Arabidopsis thaliana: one gene and its partner. The protein of the gene in region 2 interacts with the protein of the main gene of each other region in a pairwise test. Each region holds a gene or a part of one and is shown on either strand. Other genes may lie near its edges.

Evidence for each region. The genes of interacting proteins can lie anywhere in the genome.
Region 1: the proteins of AT1G05020 (region 2) and AT4G31340 interact in a protein complementation assay, tested with the Arabidopsis thaliana proteins (one large-scale study listed by BioGRID).

What each region holds. Positions count from the first base shown.
Region 1 is NC_003075.7:15,202,377-15,212,323, reverse strand, and holds AT4G31340 (myosin heavy chain-like protein), read right to left. Parts: upstream 6,888-9,947; 5' UTR 6,663-6,887; coding exon 6,503-6,662; intron 6,120-6,502; coding exon 5,992-6,119; intron 5,872-5,991; coding exon 5,800-5,871; intron 5,707-5,799; coding exon 5,593-5,706; intron 5,129-5,592; coding exon 5,060-5,128; intron 4,993-5,059; coding exon 4,936-4,992; intron 4,799-4,935; coding exon 4,745-4,798; intron 4,660-4,744; coding exon 4,597-4,659; intron 4,501-4,596; coding exon 4,438-4,500; intron 4,304-4,437; coding exon 4,148-4,303; intron 4,046-4,147; coding exon 3,890-4,045; intron 3,772-3,889; coding exon 3,691-3,771; intron 3,597-3,690; coding exon 3,535-3,596; coding exon of another isoform or gene 3,531-3,534; intron 3,453-3,530; coding exon 3,374-3,452; 3' UTR 3,341-3,373; intron 3,079-3,340; 3' UTR 2,720-3,078; downstream 1-2,719. Other genes in the region: AT4G31330 (transmembrane protein, putative (Protein of unknown function, DUF599)), read right to left, coding at 9,173-9,724, 9,803-9,947.
Region 2 is NC_003070.9:1,433,598-1,441,838, reverse strand, and holds AT1G05020 (ENTH/ANTH/VHS superfamily protein), read left to right. Parts: upstream 1-4,075; 5' UTR 4,076-4,493; coding exon 4,494-6,455; 3' UTR 6,456-6,684; downstream 6,685-8,241. Other genes in the region: AT1G05030 (Major facilitator superfamily protein), read left to right, coding at 454-622, 713-836, 1,193-1,393, 1,506-1,605, 1,829-1,941, 2,011-2,104, 2,181-2,337, 2,535-2,681 and 4 more. UniProt on the Arabidopsis thaliana protein: Adaptins are components of the adapter complexes which link clathrin to receptors in coated vesicles. Clathrin-associated protein complexes are believed to interact with the cytoplasmic tails of membrane proteins, leading to their selection and concentration.

The DNA of each region.
Region 1 (9,947 bases), on a different chromosome or scaffold from region 2:
GAACAACTAATAATTACTTGGTTCCAACTTCCAAGGAAAAATAAATAAAGAGAAAATTAATGAGAAATAAAGCAAGAGAGATTCTTGCAATAAGAATTGACTTTGATGAGATAGATTTGTAAAATCAGAAAACTATACACTATAAAAGACAACAAATTAGATTGTTGTGGATGTCCAATTTAATTAAATGCTTATGAGTATATATGAAAATTTAGTTTTCTTTACCTTTATGTATTAACAAATGTGCACTGCAAAAGCTTTTAAAAACTAGTAGAAAGTAGAATCGATGTCGTATTTTGGGAACTACGCACGCACACAAGACACAACACTCCGTTTTCATTAACCCCGCCGAATGTATAAACGGCAAGACGTTTTCACTAGAAGGAAACTGCAAAGACAAGTCAGCATGGACCCGATCGAGTCCATGCATGTACCTAGCCCAAGAGCCACGTCTCTCAAATCAACGTTCCAACTTCTACTCCGTATTTATAAAACGTCTCCACTGAAACCCTAAATTTATAGAGATCTTTTAATTCTAAAGCCAACAAACAAAAGTAGTTCTCTTTCGATTTCAATCTTTTTATTTGAAGTATGACTGTATGAGCATGTAAGTAGATATGATTCTTGGTGATGCGTCTGCTGCAACGGAGGCGAATCGCAGTTATGCGGCGTTTCAGTTGAGTCTTGAGTGTGCAAAGAATGAATACCTGACCGATAGGGACCAGAGAGCGACCTATTACTGCCGGAAGTAACTGATGCTCTGCAACAAGCTGTTCGTGCAATGGGTCGTACGGTGCGAACGATAAGTTTCCCGTCAGCTGCCGCAAGAAACGGTTTAATCGTCCCACAAAAGGTGGTAGAACCAAAAAAGTCAGTGGCCCTCTTCGGTTACTTAGTGATCATGCTTTACAAGAATGACACTGAAGTCAGCTCTGATCAACATATGAGAATACTTTTTGATGCAGCTGGTTATGTTCCGATCAAAGGAGAAGATGTGTCAGTGTTCAATGATGAGGATCACTCGACCTACTTACGGTCCACCTATGGTATAGAACCCTGAGATCGGAAAAGCTGTCCTGAAAGGTTTTCTCAATCATACCAAGGATGGAGATTCTTTTGGTGATATTTGTTCATATGTGGCCAATATTCTTTCTTGGACAGACATGGAAGAATATACTATTTTTCCCCCAAGAAAGGTTTGTTTAGGTTTAAGAAATCTTAGAATTCATAAACAATACGTGTAGTGAAGAAATTCTTTGGGCTAACTGTTACTTAGTCTCAACTATGTTTTACATATTCGGAGCAATTGTGCTCTGTTTTGAACTGTCATGCTTTGTATTTCTGTTTTTGAATCTCTTCCTTGAATTCTTTTTTAATGAAGTTTAAGACAGCAAATAAAAATCAAAGCAACATACTAAAATATCTGATTAAACACATGTGGTGCACAAGAAAAAAAAAAACAAAAAAAAAACAGGACGCCATGTAGAATCAGACCCTAACTACAGAAAAGCTTCGCTAATGACTCAGAATTTTCCTCAAAGTAGTCGACAATACGCTCGGTGGCTTCGCACACTCGGCCAGAAGCGTACTACTTGACATGCATATCAAAATAGTAGTCTACTTTGTCAGATATCTCTGCATTCACTACCTTGTTGCTGCCACCAAGCACTCTATTCTTCAACTTCTCTGCGACAGCAATGAGCGTCGGAAAGTTTGCTCTTCTAAGTATAGAGCAGCTCGCAGGATCCTCATGCAAGATCCTGTAATACTCAGGCGAGTCAGTTTCCTTGATTGCTTGATCTGCTTTTTTCCAATTGCTTACTTCAGTTGCTAACTCAGGAGCTTTGAGAACAGGGGAATCAGGATAAACAAGATTTTCTTCGACAACATAATATCCTGCCATGTCTGTCCAAGAAAGGAATTTAGCAACATTAAGACTAACACTAGAGAAATAACAGTGGTCATTCTTTTTGCTACCGAGGACAGCACTCAGAACAGCTTTACGGATCTGATGGTTCTGACCATACGAGTTTCGATAGCAGATAGCATCTTCCACATCATTGAACACTGAGATATGTCCATCTGAAATATCATGAGCGACAGCACGAAGTGCTTTGAAACGCTTGTTAGAAAATTCTCTAAAGTTTGATTCGTTGACATTCTTGTAAAGCATGATCACTAAGTAACCGAAGATAGCTCTTGCTTTTGGTGGGACAGTTAAACCATTTCTTGCGGCATTCATCTCAAAGGCGGAGTGATAGATGTTACCGTTTGGAGATGGATCTGGCATAATCATATCTACTTCCATCTCAGTGAATCTTTTCCATTTAACCTTCGTTCTCATTGCCTTTTCTTGCTCGTTGGGGTTCGCCATTTTATTTTTGCACCAAGTTGCTGTGACTTTGGGGTGTTAGAGGAAGTGGAAGTGGCGATGTTTATAAACAAGAAAATCAAGTGGAAGTAGAAACGTTAAAGTGCCTTTAAGATAGATACATGCTTCTTTCTTGACTCAAATCGAGTCCCAAGACTTGTTGTTGGCCTCTCGACTACTGTATCTAGTTAAGATGAATTGTTAGTACCAATATCTCTCTTAATTATCTCTTCCACGTTTTGTGTTTTTCAAGGTTAGCTAAAACTTTCTGGTGAATTTTTAAAGAGACCAAGAGTTCATTTTGTAAGAAAGTAATTTGAGGAAAATAAAGAATAATTCTAGAGTTTGATGGAATTATAAGAAATTATGAATTAAGCATAAAGATAAGTTGCAAAAGAAAGAGTTCGAATGAAATTAAAGATATCGCAATATATATCCACGTAAAATAGAAAAATACACTAAAATACAACCAAGCTTTTGCTAGAATTTCTCTAGTAATGTCTAATCTTCTGTGTAAAAATGCTGAAATAAATTGTCCAAAACAATACAAAATAATAAAGGAAAGAAGTCAACACTTGTGCACAACGAGCCTCTAAAAACCCATCAGACACCAACTCGAGACTTTCCCTTCATTCAACAAGCAACCTGTCCGGTGAGCTAGCTGACTTTAGAACAGTCCAACAACAATGGCGTTTTAACCTCGTGACCTGGAGCGATTAAGAAGCAACAGATTAAGAAACGACAATGAAGCACCTAATGTTATGTGGCATCAGATACTCAAAACCACATTCCATAATCTGAGTATGGTTCTGTTACTAACACTACATATTTGTTTATTTTCACACTAACTAGACTACATGATTTCCTCTGAGGCTGGAAGCTAGAAAACTCGTAACTACAATGCTTTTAAGAGAGGAGATGTTCCTTAGTGTGGCTAATGTCAAGCAAAAGTTAAACGTGAGAGTGTACCTCGACTATTTTGAGAGCGTGGAACAATGAATATCACTTGTCAGTGTGAGCCCTTTTGGCCTTACGACGACCATGGTGATGAGGGTGTTTAACAGGTTTCTTTGTCTTTGTGCTGCGATAAACAATAATATGAGATATTTTTATGATTAAGAATATTACATAAAATGACTAAATGGATTACTTAAAAGACTTGCCAGAAGAGAGAAGAGAGCACTCTGTAAGCAACGAAGATGGGAAATACCAACAATGCAGAGGCCTGCAGTGCATAGATTTTAGATTTGAAGTTAGAGAGGAAACAAATAAAGGATGCATTCTCAGAATACGTTCTAGAAGAAAGTAAGGCAAAATACCGCAAACCAAACAAACTCATTGGTAGCAAAAGGCTCCGTCAGCTCATGGCTTTTCAGTTTTCGTTCAACATGGGCTTGGACCTTCACAGACAAACACAGATTTTAGCTTTACAAGTCGAGCATACTTTTTGATGAGTCCGAGAAGTGGAATAACTCAGATTTATTTTTAGTATACATTAGCAGGATTTTGGTTTCAGACCTGATTGTGATAAGTTGTGGCGGATTCAAGGAACTCTGTATAGACGATGATCACCTTGGTTGTGTAAGGTTTCATGGCAACCTTCATTTTATCAACATGTGGTTTCGTGGTCGTGGCCACTTGGTCGACATATGGCTTGCTGAACTTTTTGGCCTCCTGGAAATTGTAACAGGCATAAAGTTTACATCCGTAAATACTAGTTGATTAATTGTGTACCAAACCTATCAGTGAAAAAATAAACTGAAAAAGACACTATACCTGATAATAGGGGTCTACAAATTCTTGAACCGTGACAATGTGAGGGGAAACAGCACTCTTTGATGAATGGTAAGCCTCTTTAGCTTTGATGGATAGTGTTCGGAAGTGTGGCTCAACATGTATAGTAACGGTTTCCTTGATGGCTGGAATATATTTCTGCAAGTAGTGTCATAAGACATAGTAATATGAGCCAATTATAACTCTAGAGATTTGTGATTCACCAAAAATGCAGGCATTCCATTAATGTCAAAGAAATTTACTACAAAAAAAATTGCCAATAAGATGCTTACAGTTTTAACGTTTTCGACATGTGGTTCAGCCCACTTTTCAGCTTGAGCTTTTGCTTCCGTCACCTACTCAATAATAAGTAAACTTCATTAGCCAGATGCTCTCATACTGTTTAGAGGCATAAATCTCAATAGGAGTATAGGACAAAAGTTAAACAGTACCTTTAGAATTACTGTCTCCACAGCAGGTTTCCCATGGGCCTCCCAATGTGTCTCGGTATAAGTCTATAGGTACATGAAATTCCCTATGTTAATTGGGGGGGATAACTACTATGTTGTAAAACTGTAAAAAGGCCAGCATAAACCTTACCTGAAATTTAAACCAGTGAACAGCAAGCCAAGGGGGAAGCCACGAACCATGAGCCTGAGTAAATAAAACAATTGACATTAGCTTTCTGCCGACTTCCAGATTCCAGGCTCCGCTAATTTCCCACACAATGAAAATCTAATGCTATAATAGCATCAGAGAAAGCCAAATGTAAAACTGTGTCAAACTAATACCTCTAGCAGTTCCTTCGCCTTTGTGGTTGCTTCGAGCTTTGTCCTCAACATTTCTTCCTGAAATTTAAAATTTAGAAAAAAACTATATGTGAGGCAAATCTACTTTAATAAGAGGTTACTGTACCTCAGCTATCTTAATAGCACGTTCAAGTTTTCCTATTTTGTTCTTCTGCTCTTCATTTGTCTTCTGAAGCTGCAAGACATCAGATACTATAATTAAATGTCTCAGGACATTACTATAAGAATTGGTTCAACCAAAAGTACATATCCATAAAAGGGACCATAAAAGCATGGTCGATGGTATAGTAAGAAGGAGGGAAAGTTCTGATGGTATAATAAGACTGCATAACGAAACTCTGTTCTATATAATTCTCATACAACTCAAGATCGAATTAAGATCAAACACGAGTATCAAATCATCCAAGGAGCTGTCCTAATGAGAACTAATATAGCTGAGAACGGAAATTGCAATGCTAATAACATAGCATAAATGACGAGGCTTAGAACATGAAGATATTTTGACCTCAACCTTAAACAAAGTCTAGCTAAAGCTGAGATAAAAAAAAACGTAACTAAGCATTTACCATGTCCCTTAGAGAAAAAACAAATGAAATGGTGTAATGCAAAAAATGAAACGAGGGATGTAAACAAATATACTTTGTCAAGGCTCGAGTTAAGTTCCCTTAGTTTTTTCTCAGCTTCATTAGTCCGAGCTTCAGTGGAATCTTTCTCCTTGTTTTTTTGCTCCAAGAAGTTCTTGAGAACCTCAACCTAAACGACAGTAGTAGGATCGCAAAAATCAGATAACCGTTTGCAAATTCTAACCATATAAATAGATTGAGTTTTTGAACTTAAAAATTTCACCTGCTTCTCTAATTCATCAGCTCGTGCTTGAGCCTTTCCCAACTGTTTTGCAGAATCTGATGATCCCTTTTTCTGGAGATGAGTGAAAACACACAGATCAGATTTAAGCCAAACATGTCAAAAAGATTAGAAATTTTTTATCACAAGTTCCAAAAAAAAGTAGATGAAACTGAAACCATATAAGATCCATACCTGTAGTGATGAGACTTCAGTCTGCAAGGAAGCAATCTTGTCTTCCCTTTCTTTGAGTAGTTTCTCCTTCTCTGCTACTACCTCGTCTTTGCCCTGAACTTCCCGGGTTTTCTCATCGATTTGAGATTCTTCAAAACAAAACAAAAACAAAACATAAAGCTCAAACCCCAAAATTTGCATTCACCAAATAATCAAGCTATAACAAGCTCGAATCAGAACGGATTAGGCATTTCACAAATTCCACAAAACCATAGCAAGCAATTCGACATTGGGAACAAGTTAATACGATTCATATCTGAAATCGATCCAAAAGCTACTAATTTAAGTCAATGCTATAAGAACAGAGAAACACATCAAGTAGCTGAAACGGTAATTCTATCAGCGTCAGACCAATAACATGCGAACTCTGCAGATTCCGATTTCAAATACGAATCAAAGTCGAATAAAAATCAAAACTTCGCAATCATTCGATCAGATGGAAGAGTCTGAACAATGCAAGTCGGTAACTAACCTAGGGCACGGATCTTGGCATTAAGCTGATCCAGGTGGATCTTGGAAGAGCCATCGGATCCGGCAGCCTCAGAAACCTCCGGCTCATCAGCATCGGCGAAGACGCTGGTGGTGAAAAGCAAGGCAAGAAGTAACAAAGCGACGAGCTTCGCAGCCGCCATGTCTAAGATTCACCACCGTCGATCAACAAAAAGGGACGGAGATTCCAACGAACAAGAGAAACGTTTCCTCTCTGCTCTCTCACGATCTCTCTGTATATTTATGAAGGTGTGTTTTTGACCATGGACCGTAGAAATTTCTTAACCAGTAGGAAAAAAAGAAACAGCGTGCCAAGACGAGAGAGAGAGAGATAGATGGTACTAAACGTGAGGTAAATGGCTTCGTGGGTATGTCGTGACCGACGATGACACGCGGCATCCATCGGATCCACTTTTGTATTTTCACATTAATGACGTGGCGTAAATCCAATGGTTGATCCTTTTTGGGTAAAATATGACAACCAATTAACCAGTCGATATTATTATTATTGTCCTTTTTCGAAAGCAATTCAATCAGATCATCAAATTAATGACATTCATCTACTTGCCTGCTAACTAATCGTGGAGTACTAATTTTACTATATCCAGATTAAACCATTAGATATTCGATGCACCATTTAATTTCTCGTTAACTAAGCAACTTCTATTCTGAATTTTTCGATACTCGTTTTTTTAATTGCCTGAGAGCTAAGAATCTTTGTTTTTCTCTCCAAACAACACCGGCACGTTAACAATTTTATAAGTACGTATTATGTTATTACTATGCTTGATCCAACACAATTTGCCCTAATTTAAAAAGAATTTATGTAAAGGTTGGAATCACGATTCGCGATAGCTAAATCTATACGATTAATTGATTGGATCACAGAATCATGACAAATAAGTACCGCTGGATTATCAGAGATGTGTCTGGTCTATCGTTTGCTTTATGGCATTAACCAATTTATAATACTAGTTTTAACAAGACAAAAGTATAATTAATTAGCAACTACTCAATAATAATTATATGTACGTGGTACGTGGAGTTTGCCAACTCAAACCAGAAGCAATGACATTAACGTAATTCATCTTTTCATTAATTATAATCTCCGGTGTATAAAGCAAGGCCTAGTTGAAAATGCATATACTGATAATATTGAAAATGTATATTATTAATATACTCCAAAGTTCTCCAACGTTGCGGTCTCATCAAATCATCAGCCTCACAAATGTTTTGTTCTTCTCTAAGTTTCCCAAAAAAAAAAAAAAGGGGATGAAGTTCGATTATAGTCTATGATTCACAGGTGTTCAAAAAAAGGACAGAAAAAAGTCTCATTAAACCCAAAAAAAAAAAAGATTATAGTTTATGATTTCTTATAAGTTATATATTAGTAAAAAAGAATTACAGGTGAGTAAATGATCAAACACAAAACAGTCCAGTGATCTTCCAAACTTGATGTTGTATTTGAGTTTTGTTAAATCATTACAGAGATGTCTATCATCGTAATCCTTCGCTTTGAGCTCCTACTTCAATTCTTCAAAAGTGCAAATGCCTTCATCATCTCTTGACATTTATTTTTATAAAAAGGCTTGAAGAAAAAGAGAAAAATATCACATGCCTAACAGGCCACAGTTTATAATTTTATTAGATTTAGGCCCACTTAAGGACAGCCCATGGTACTTTTGCCAACAGTTTAATTGGCTATCTCTATGATATATCTCTGGCTATCTCGTTGTTAAATGGTCAGTAGCTATTATCCATGAAATTTGTGTATCAACGGATAGTCACGAGTAAGTTATTTAGCAACTGTCGTTTAGCTATTTAGCTACGTACGAAACTAAAGTTTTAACTACGAAAATTTTCATCACTAAAATTGTATTTGTTTGTAGCATGAAATAGCTTTTTGTTTACCTAATCTAAACCAAAATTGAAAATATATATATGAAAAATAGAGTTAGTTAACATACAATGATACAATTTTAATCTAGGCGAACATGGGCTTCAGAACTAGATTCGGATATAATTAGCTAACATCATAATCTGAATTGTCATCTCTAAACGAGTTCTAAACAGTTTGATTTCATACTACACAGAAAAATAACCGTGTAGGTATATTTCTACATTGTCTTAGGGAGGATTTAAATAGCCTCGTGACGACTGGTTCCTAACACATAACATAACAACAAAACTTAATAAGACAGATACTAATGCACGGAATAGATGTGAACATCACATTTTTTGTCCCGTTTCTTGCCCAACGTAAGCCACATGCATATAAACACTAACAGAAAAAGAAAAAGAAAAAAGAGAAACGTACATACCAAGAGAGCTGTGAGATATGCTGATACGTTATAAAGTCACCCACATGGAAATGCCAATAATAACGCTCAATAAACCAAAACGTGACATATATTACACCACACCAAATACATACGGCCGAAAAACCCTAATATATGAAAATTATAATGCGTTATTTAATTACATTTTTTTTTCTTAATCGGAAGATCTAGAATTGAAACCTAAACTATGATCTTCGAACTTTTCAACTTCCATGTAAAGTCCTCATGCGTTCATCGGTAGTCCAGGATTTAACAAAGAGGACGATGATATCACTTAATTACAAATCACTTGTTCTACTGACCAGAACTCGATTTTACACAGATCCAAAACTAGACTTTTGATCAAGTTTTCTTCTTTCTTTACCGAAGAAGAAGAAATCGAGGTTGTAAAGTAGAGGAACCATCACGACCGAGCACAAAAACACAAGCACCGGTCCAAATATCCAAAGCATCAACGGCAAAGCCGCGTAGAACAACCGATTCCCCACAGTATTCAAAATAAACCCTCTCTCTAGCAACTCCGCCACGTACTCCTCCGCGGTCATCATCATCTCGTCCTCCAACTCCTCAGGAGGAAAAGGAGTGTTGATGAGGATGTTAACTTGGTTGATGAAACGAATTGAGAGAGAGTGAGAGAAGAAGGAGAAGAGGAATATGGTGAGTATCGTGACGTACTTGAGAGCCACCATGAACTCTCCGCGAGCTCCAAAAACAGCGTCGTTTAGAGGCTTCTTCACTGCATATGTGCTGCTTAAAACCGCAGCTAGACCAGCGCAGAGGAGGATCGATGTTGTTGCCATCAAAGTCGACCCCATTATGCAGTTTCTAAGCGTTTGAACGGCCAAGATGTTCTTCTTGTCGTTGTCCTAATTTAATCAAATACATAAAATTAAAATCATATATTTATGTGTGTGAAGATGTTTATATAAGAAAATTGAAGTTACCTTGATGATGGAAGCGACCCAGAATCGGCGAGCTCTAGCGTTAGTGCCGATGATAGTGGTGAGAGGCTGTGTTCGTAACTTATGCCACAAGTAAACATGGTAAGATGCATACACCATTAGCCCTAGCGGCACCAATATCACATCT
Region 2 (8,241 bases):
AAGAAAAGAAGAGTCGATGAAGAAAAAAGAAGTAGACGATGAAGAAGACGAAGAAAAAAAGTACAAATAGAGAAAGAATATTCATTATACTTTTTTGAGTAATTAAATTATATATATAATCTGATAATAGTTACAACTTCCATCCAACGACCCACTCATCATATACCAACTTCCAAACGCTAAAGTATTTTCGTTTTCACTTTTAGGGGCAAATTTGTCATAAATTCGATGAAAAAGTTGAAAAAATGCCTCATCTCTGCAAAGTGCCTCAAATGGAATAAAATTTTCTAAAAGTGCCTAAACTTGTCACATTCCTAAAAAGGAAATCACTCAGTATTTGAGCACGTGAGTGTCACGTGCTTACAAGTTTATTATTTTCCGTCGCCTCAAATTTTATTATTTTCGCTTCGCCGACGTATTTCTCTCTCTTCCGTCTAGTCTAGCTCTCCGATCATGTGGGTGACGAATACCGTACTTCTATATCGACCCAATTCTATGAACCGATTAACCTTTTCTTACCCGACCCGACTCGCCCACTCTCGTAAAGCCTCTTCCTTTTCCCGTTTCTTTCGGTCTTCAAAGAGGAAGAAGCGGGTTACGACATTGTCGACGAAGAAACCAGGTTCAGCTTTCTCACCTCCATTGACTTACCAATCTCTTTGCCAATGTTTATCTGTTTGAAATATTCTAACTTTATTCAAAATTTTAACAGATGACGATCACGAGATATCGCCAGTTCCGCCGGAGAAATTCTCCGCTGATTTGGGATGGTTATCGGCTTTTCCTCATGTATCAGTTGCTTCTATGGCCAATTTTCTCTTTGGTTATCACATTGGGTAATAATATAGCCAATTCACTGTTGCCAAATTTGTGAAGTAACAGTCGTTGTTGTTTGTTTCACTGGCCTAGTTTGATTTCTATACCAGAAGATTAATCTCTGTTCGTGTAGTAGTGTTAATGCTTGGTTGTGTTACAGAATTCGAAAAAAAGTTTCATTTTGACATTGCTGGTGAGAAACAGCTTCAATTTGAGCTTACAAAGATGTTGATTAGATTGTTTTTACAGAGTGTTGATTTGTCCCCGTCTTGACAATTTGTTAGCTTCCAGTGAGAAGAATATGAGTTAGTCAGGTTGATCTGGATTAGTTTTTCGAAAGCTTAGTACTTATAATACTATCAGTTTGTTCTTGCAGAGTGATGAATGGCCCCATCGTGTCTATTGCGCGTGAACTTGGGTTTGAAGGCAATTCTATTCTTGAGGGTCTTGTTGTGAGCATATTTATTGCCGGTGCATTTATTGGTAGCATAGTCGCCGGTCCACTAGTTGACAAGTTTGGCTACCGACGCACCTTTCAGATTTTCACGATACCCCTCATTCTTGGTGCCCTTGTGAGGTAATATCTTGTTACTAAGGTGAATCTTGATTTCGTTATGTTAGTAACAATTCCATGATGATGTTTTAAGTTGTGAGGTAGCAGCATAACTAAATTTTACTTTTTCTCTCAGTGCACAAGCTCACTCCTTGGATGAGATCTTATGTGGAAGATTTCTTGTTGGTCTTGGTATTGGCGTCAACACAGTTCTTGTTCCAATATATATATCCGAGGTAATCTAATATGTGATTCCTTTTCAACTTCATGTTTTAACTATTTGGCTTCTTCTGCTGTAAGATCTAGGACATTTCTTAAAATTGATCCTATGTACTCTCAGACTCTCAGTACAATAAGTTGTGGTTTAGCATTCTTTTGCTTAGCATATTTTGCATTTCATATGTTCGGCTGAAGAGTCTTGTTACTTCTGATATTAAGCCAACCATTTTTATTCTATAGGTTGCTCCGACGAAATACAGAGGTTCCCTTGGAACTTTATGTCAAATTGGCACTTGTCTCGGGATAATCTTTTCTCTTCTCTTAGGGATTCCTGCAGAAGATGACCCTCATTGGTGAGCTTCATTTAGCTATCTATACATTTCACTCTTCACTTCATTCTCCTCATGTATACTACTGTTCAGGTGGAGGACAATGCTCTATGTAGCGAGTATGCCTGGTTTTCTTCTTGCACTTGGTATGCAATTTGCAGTAGAAAGTCCCCGTTGGCTCTGTAAGGTATAAGTCGCCTCTTTTAATCATGAGGAAGCATTGATTTTCCATGTTGAAATCGTGTCTCATGATACTTGTTTAGGTTGGACGACTTGATGATGCCAAAGTAGTGATAAGAAACATCTGGGGAGGATCTGAAGTCGAGAAAGCTGTAGAAGATTTTCAGTCGGTTATGAAGAATAGTGGCTCCAACTTAAATAGCAGATGGCTGGAACTCCTTGATAAACCACATTCACGAGGTCATGTTAAGGTTGCTTTTAATGTTAGTTCTAACTTCTAAGGGTGTTATATTATACCATAAATCAGAAACTGAAAACATTCAAGTTTAAGAATAACCTTTTCCAGGACTTTGATCTAAGAAACTGAGAATATATAACTTCATACATGAAAAATCTATGTAGCTAAATTGTATGTCTTGTTGATATAATGGTTGCAGTTGCATTCATTGGGGGCTCCCTTTTTGTCCTACAGCAATTCGCGGGCATAAATGGCGTTCTTTATTTCTCATCTTTAACATTCCAAAATGTTGGAATCACGAGTGGTGCTCAAGCAAGTCTATATGTTGGAGTCACAAATTTTGCAGGTTCTCAAGTCTCACCTATATCAACTTTAAATTTAGATGATTGTTTTTTTCTACTGTTTCCATCACAATGTCCCTTTTCTGAACTGTTGGGTCTAATAGGTGCTCTGTGTGCGTCTTATTTGATTGATAAGCAAGGAAGAAAGAAGCTTCTTATCGGTAGCTACTTGGGAATGGTAAATATCTTTTTCTTTTATCACATAAACTCTTTTGCTTTTCACTGCTTTAGCTTATTTTGATTGAATTGATTTGGTGTCACAGGCAGTCTCTATGTTTCTTATTGTTTATGCTGTTGGTTTCCCCTTGGATGAAGATCTGAGCCAGAGTTTGTCAATACTTGGAACACTCATGTAAGTAGCTTGAAGTCCAGCAATTACTAGTCTCCTTTTCTCAGCTCATATAGTACCCAAAAAAAGACAGAAACGTATCATATGTTTGGTCCTGTTACAGGTATATATTCAGTTTTGCAATTGGAGCTGGTCCTGTAACAGGTCTCATCATCCCTGAGCTAAGCAGCAACAGAACGCGTGGAAAAATCATGGGTTTCAGCTTCTCTGTACATTGGGTATGTGTTTTTTTAGTTTTCCCATAAATCATTTTATAACCTTTTGAAGTTTGAAGAATGACGAAGCAAATGTTCTTCAGGTCTCCAACTTCTTGGTTGGTTTGTTCTTCCTGGATCTGGTGGAGAAATACGGGGTTGGAACGGTCTATGCCAGCTTTGGCTCAGTATCATTGTTGGCAGCGGCATTCTCACACCTCTTCACGGTGGAAACAAAGGGTCGATCACTAGAAGAGATCGAACTGTCTTTGAACTCCAGAGACGACCTGAGTTAAAAAAAAAAACGGTATAAGTGAAAGAAAGAGAGAAAGACCTCAAAATTTTTATCAGTTTTTCATCAGTTGTTGTAAAATGTAAATAGCCTGGAAATTAGCTTGTGAGAAATCTTGTGAGTATATAGATATACTTAGGTATGTAAGAAAAGATTTATAAAAAATGCGAAAGAAAGTTGACAAGGATTACACAAAATACATACTTATGAAAGGTTTGTGCCTATTTACAAGTGGTAAGACGTTCTTGATTTATAGCTTAATGTAGTAACATTGTCTCGATCTAGACTATACATGCTTACCATGTCATGGTGAAAATCGTGAGTCCATAACTCATGATCTCTATATATTCATATTCATATATAATACTGGTTTGCACGTCTGCAAACAAAGATAAAGATTTCTGATAATATTAAATTTATCCCAAGAATATTGAATATAAAGATGCTAGCTGGTTCTCTGAAAAAAAAAAGCGTACACAGCTTGTCATTGAATTTATAACCTATACGAATATGAGGCTCGTAGAAACAACTCTTAAGGAATTGTGAGAGAATGTTACTTTTAGCCGATCAAAAAATTTGTAACATAAATACACTGACAAGATATTTGTATTATAATAAGTTTTCGAAATTTGAACACAATTCTATGCATCATGCTTTTTCTTCTAACAAGAAGAAGAATTTAAACACAATTATATATTTAACGCGCCAAAATCGCGTGTGAAGTCTCTCTATTAGTCAACGCTATATCTTGAAAGGGTCTCGAGACTCTCCAGCCATTTTATTCTGCCTTCCTCTCTATATTTAGAAGAACAAAAATTGAAAAAAAAATCCTTAGAGAGAGGAAAAAAATTTAGAGGAAAATCTTCTAATTTGGTTTTAATTCTTCGTGATTAATCGCTAATCCAGAGTGATTAAGAAATTAAAACCCCTTGAGGAACAAAGAAGACGTTTGGGTGAAATTAAAAGCGCGACGACGAGGACAATGCCGAGCAAGCTTAAAAAAGCGATTGGTGCGGTTAAAGATCAGACAAGCATTAGCCTCGCCAAAGTTGCTAACGGAGCCACCGGAGGCGGCGATCTCACGACTCTCGAAGTTGCGATCTTGAAAGCTACGAGCCACGACGAGGAAGTCCCAATCGACGATCGACTCGTAACAGAAATCCTCGGAATCATATCCTCCAAGAAATCTCACGCCGCCTCTTGCGCCGCCGCGATCGGTCGCCGTATCGGGCGTACACGGAATTGGATCGTCGCGCTCAAATCCCTAGTCCTCGTCCTCAGGATTTTCCAAGACGGTGATCCTTATTTCCCTCGCGAAGTCCTCCACGCCATGAAACGTGGCGCCAAAATCCTCAATCTCTCCAGCTTCCGCGACGATTCGAACTCGTGCCCTTGGGATTTCACTGCTTTCGTCCGTACATTCGCGCTTTACCTCGACGAACGTCTCGATTGCTTCCTCACCGGAAAATTACAGAGACGGTACACAAACCGAGAACAAACCGGAAGAATCAGCACCAACTCAACAACAAGATCCCGGTTTAATCCCAAAGCCGGAATTAAATCCCACGAACCGGCGGTTCGAGATATGAAACCGGTAATGCTTCTTGACAAAATCACGTATTGGCAAAAATTACTAGACAGAGCAATCGCGACGCGGCCGACGGGAGACGCGAAAGCCAACAGGCTCGTGAAAATGTCGCTTTACGCCGTCATGCAAGAGAGTTTTGATCTTTACAGAGACATTTCCGATGGATTAGCGCTTTTGTTAGACAGTTTCTTCCATCTGCAATACCAATCTTGCATCAATGCGTTTCAAGCTTGTGTTCGAGCTTCGAAACAGTTCGAAGAGCTTAACGCATTCTACGATCTTTCCAAATCGATCGGTATAGGAAGAACATCGGAGTATCCTAGCATTCAAAAGATCTCTTTAGAGCTTCTTGAGACATTGCAAGAGTTTTTAAAAGATCAATCGTCGTTTCCAGCGAGCTCAGGGTTGTATCCGTCACCGAATAGTTTTCTTCCTCCGCCTCCATCGTCCAAAGATTCAGCGGTTTCAAGCTCGCTTGATTTTGGGGATTCCACGATTGATACGTCGGAGAGGTATTCAGATTACGGGTCGTTTCGTAGTACTTCGTTGGAGGATTTGATGAGCAGGACTGAAGCAGGGACTAGTAGTCCTCCAATGTCTTGTCATTCTGAGCCATACGGAGGAGGACGAGATGATCCTAATGGGAATAATTTTGATACGGTTTCGACTAAATCGCTTCCCAATAATCCCTCTGTTTCTGCTTCCAATCTCATATTAGACCTATTGTCATTGGATGACGTAAGTAACACGGCAGAAGCAGAAGATGTTGAAGACAAGAAGAAGCAAGACGATTCAAAGGCAGAGACTTTCGATCCTTGGGAGGCGTTGATGTTGAGAGATGATCCGAAGAAGAAGATAGAAACGATTGAGGAGGAACCTTCAACCGCTGAGGACCATCAGAGAGATTCAGGGAATTGGTTGCTTGCGTTAGAAGAAACTGCTACGCAGGTGCAGGGTAATAACTCGATGGCGATAGTACCGTTCGGGTTAGATGATCCGATGCCTGCGTTTCAAGCCGCCACGGACCAATACAACCCATTCTTGGAAGAACCAGTTGCGCAGTTAGCTACAGCCGGAGAACCAATGATCACGTTCGGTGGCTTGGCTTTGACAGGGTTTCAGCCAGAACCGACATTTCAGGTGAACGTTCCTGATGATTTTGAGCCGTCTTCTACACCAACATTTAAGGCCACGGAGACTTTGCCTATGAAATGTGACCCGTTTACAACATTTGAGAGTTTTGGGTTCGGAGAGACATTTTCAGAAAATGGAGGGGTAAATCAGCAATCTGTATTGCAAGAACAGCAGATATGGTTGCAGAACCAGAAAAAGATCATAGCCAAGCACTTGAGTTGATACAAAATTTATTTGGCTAGACAGAGGTTGAGATGTTTCTTTGAGTTTTTCTTTTGTTACATTGTCAACTTAACTCTTAACTCATTTTTCCATAACTTAGAGAAATGTGAAATTCAGAAATTCTTTGATTAAAAAGATATTTCCGCGGATTCTATCTTCGTACTTGCATTCCTGTGTATACACGATGTATTTTGTGTGTCTTGTATCATAATCACATTGAGAATTTGATTTTCAAGTATATCTCAACGAATAACACTCAAATATCTAAGTTCACCTTCTGAATACATTTACGTACACGGTACACTTTGGGATTTACTTTTGAATATGTTATTTTCTTTGAAGTTTTTGGGAATTGAAATTTAGCTAGCATTTTGATCATCGTGATGATGTTATGTAGCATTTAGTTTATGTATTTTTGAAAATATTTATGTATTCATTTTTAGTCTATATTAATATAACAAGTTTTCACATAATCACACAACAGATGCATGCATCTAATGTGTGTGTATTAGATGAATGTATCCGATATGCGTATTAGATGCGTATATCTGGCAAACAATTTTTTGCATTTTATTTTCCGATATGCATGTATTTATGTGTTATGATATGCATCCGTGATAATGCGAATGATAAAATGAATGTATATCGGTGGAAGATAACGAAGAGGGAAGCCAAATGGAATAAATTAAGGAGGTCCACTAGTAGGTCAAGTTGGCTTTGTGGTGTCGATAACATGAGATTGACCAAAGCTGTAGCTTGACCCCAAGGCCACGAGGGAGAAAGATCTACCAAACCAAAATCATCATAACACATCTCTTTCTAGTATATAGCCCACCACAAATATTAATTCTTTTAATAGTTATACACCACAAATTTTATCCCCCATTGGCCATTGACTAGAGTCGTTTTCGTCTTTGACAGTGGTAAAAGCTTCTGTATATGTGAATTTAGGATTCCACCTTTCTTAGGTTTCTCATTACAAGTTGATTTAACTTCTTGACTTCTCAAGTTGTTGTTTTGTAATTTAGTAAAAATTTGCTTACAAGTCATACATGATTGAATATAACACCGGCTGCTAAGCCTATTTTTCTATCATAAGTTTCGCTTTCGAGTCAAAATGTTAGTCAACATGAAATAAAACACGTTTCTTTATTTGTTTTGCTTATTGATCAACTTTAAAATAGTCCCATAAAATAGCAAATATTAAGAAATTTCAAATCAATACATTAGTTGCCAAAACCCGTCTGTGATATTATACTTTTTGAGGCTCCATAATAATGACGTGAGATTTGTTTGTGACTGAGGAAGTGGAAAATAAAGTTAAGCATGTCTTACTATTATCAAATATCAGTTTTTCTATAACAAAGTATGAATGTTGATCAAAGACAAAAACAAAAAAAAGGTGATCCACCTTTCTCCAAATAGAAAGGAAGTAAGGCAATGAATGTTTTTTTTTTTTTTTTCCATTGCATTTGCTTTTAAATCCTTATAAGAATTTGAAAGAAAAATATCTTATCAACTCTTAGAGGTGATCTTTGGGCCAAAGAGGGAACCACGTAATCGAATCTGAACTTCTCCGCTTAAATGGGAAATTTTATTAGATCTGATAAACGGCCAAAAGTGATAGCTCATGATTCTTAATATAGACGTGCATACAGAGATGTTGTTACCGGCCGAAGAGCAGCTTCGTAATCAACGGACACAAATAAACCACTATTGGTCCATCAAAATTAATACAAAACGAATGAAAACTGCTGTGTCATAAGACTAAATAATTTTGTATATT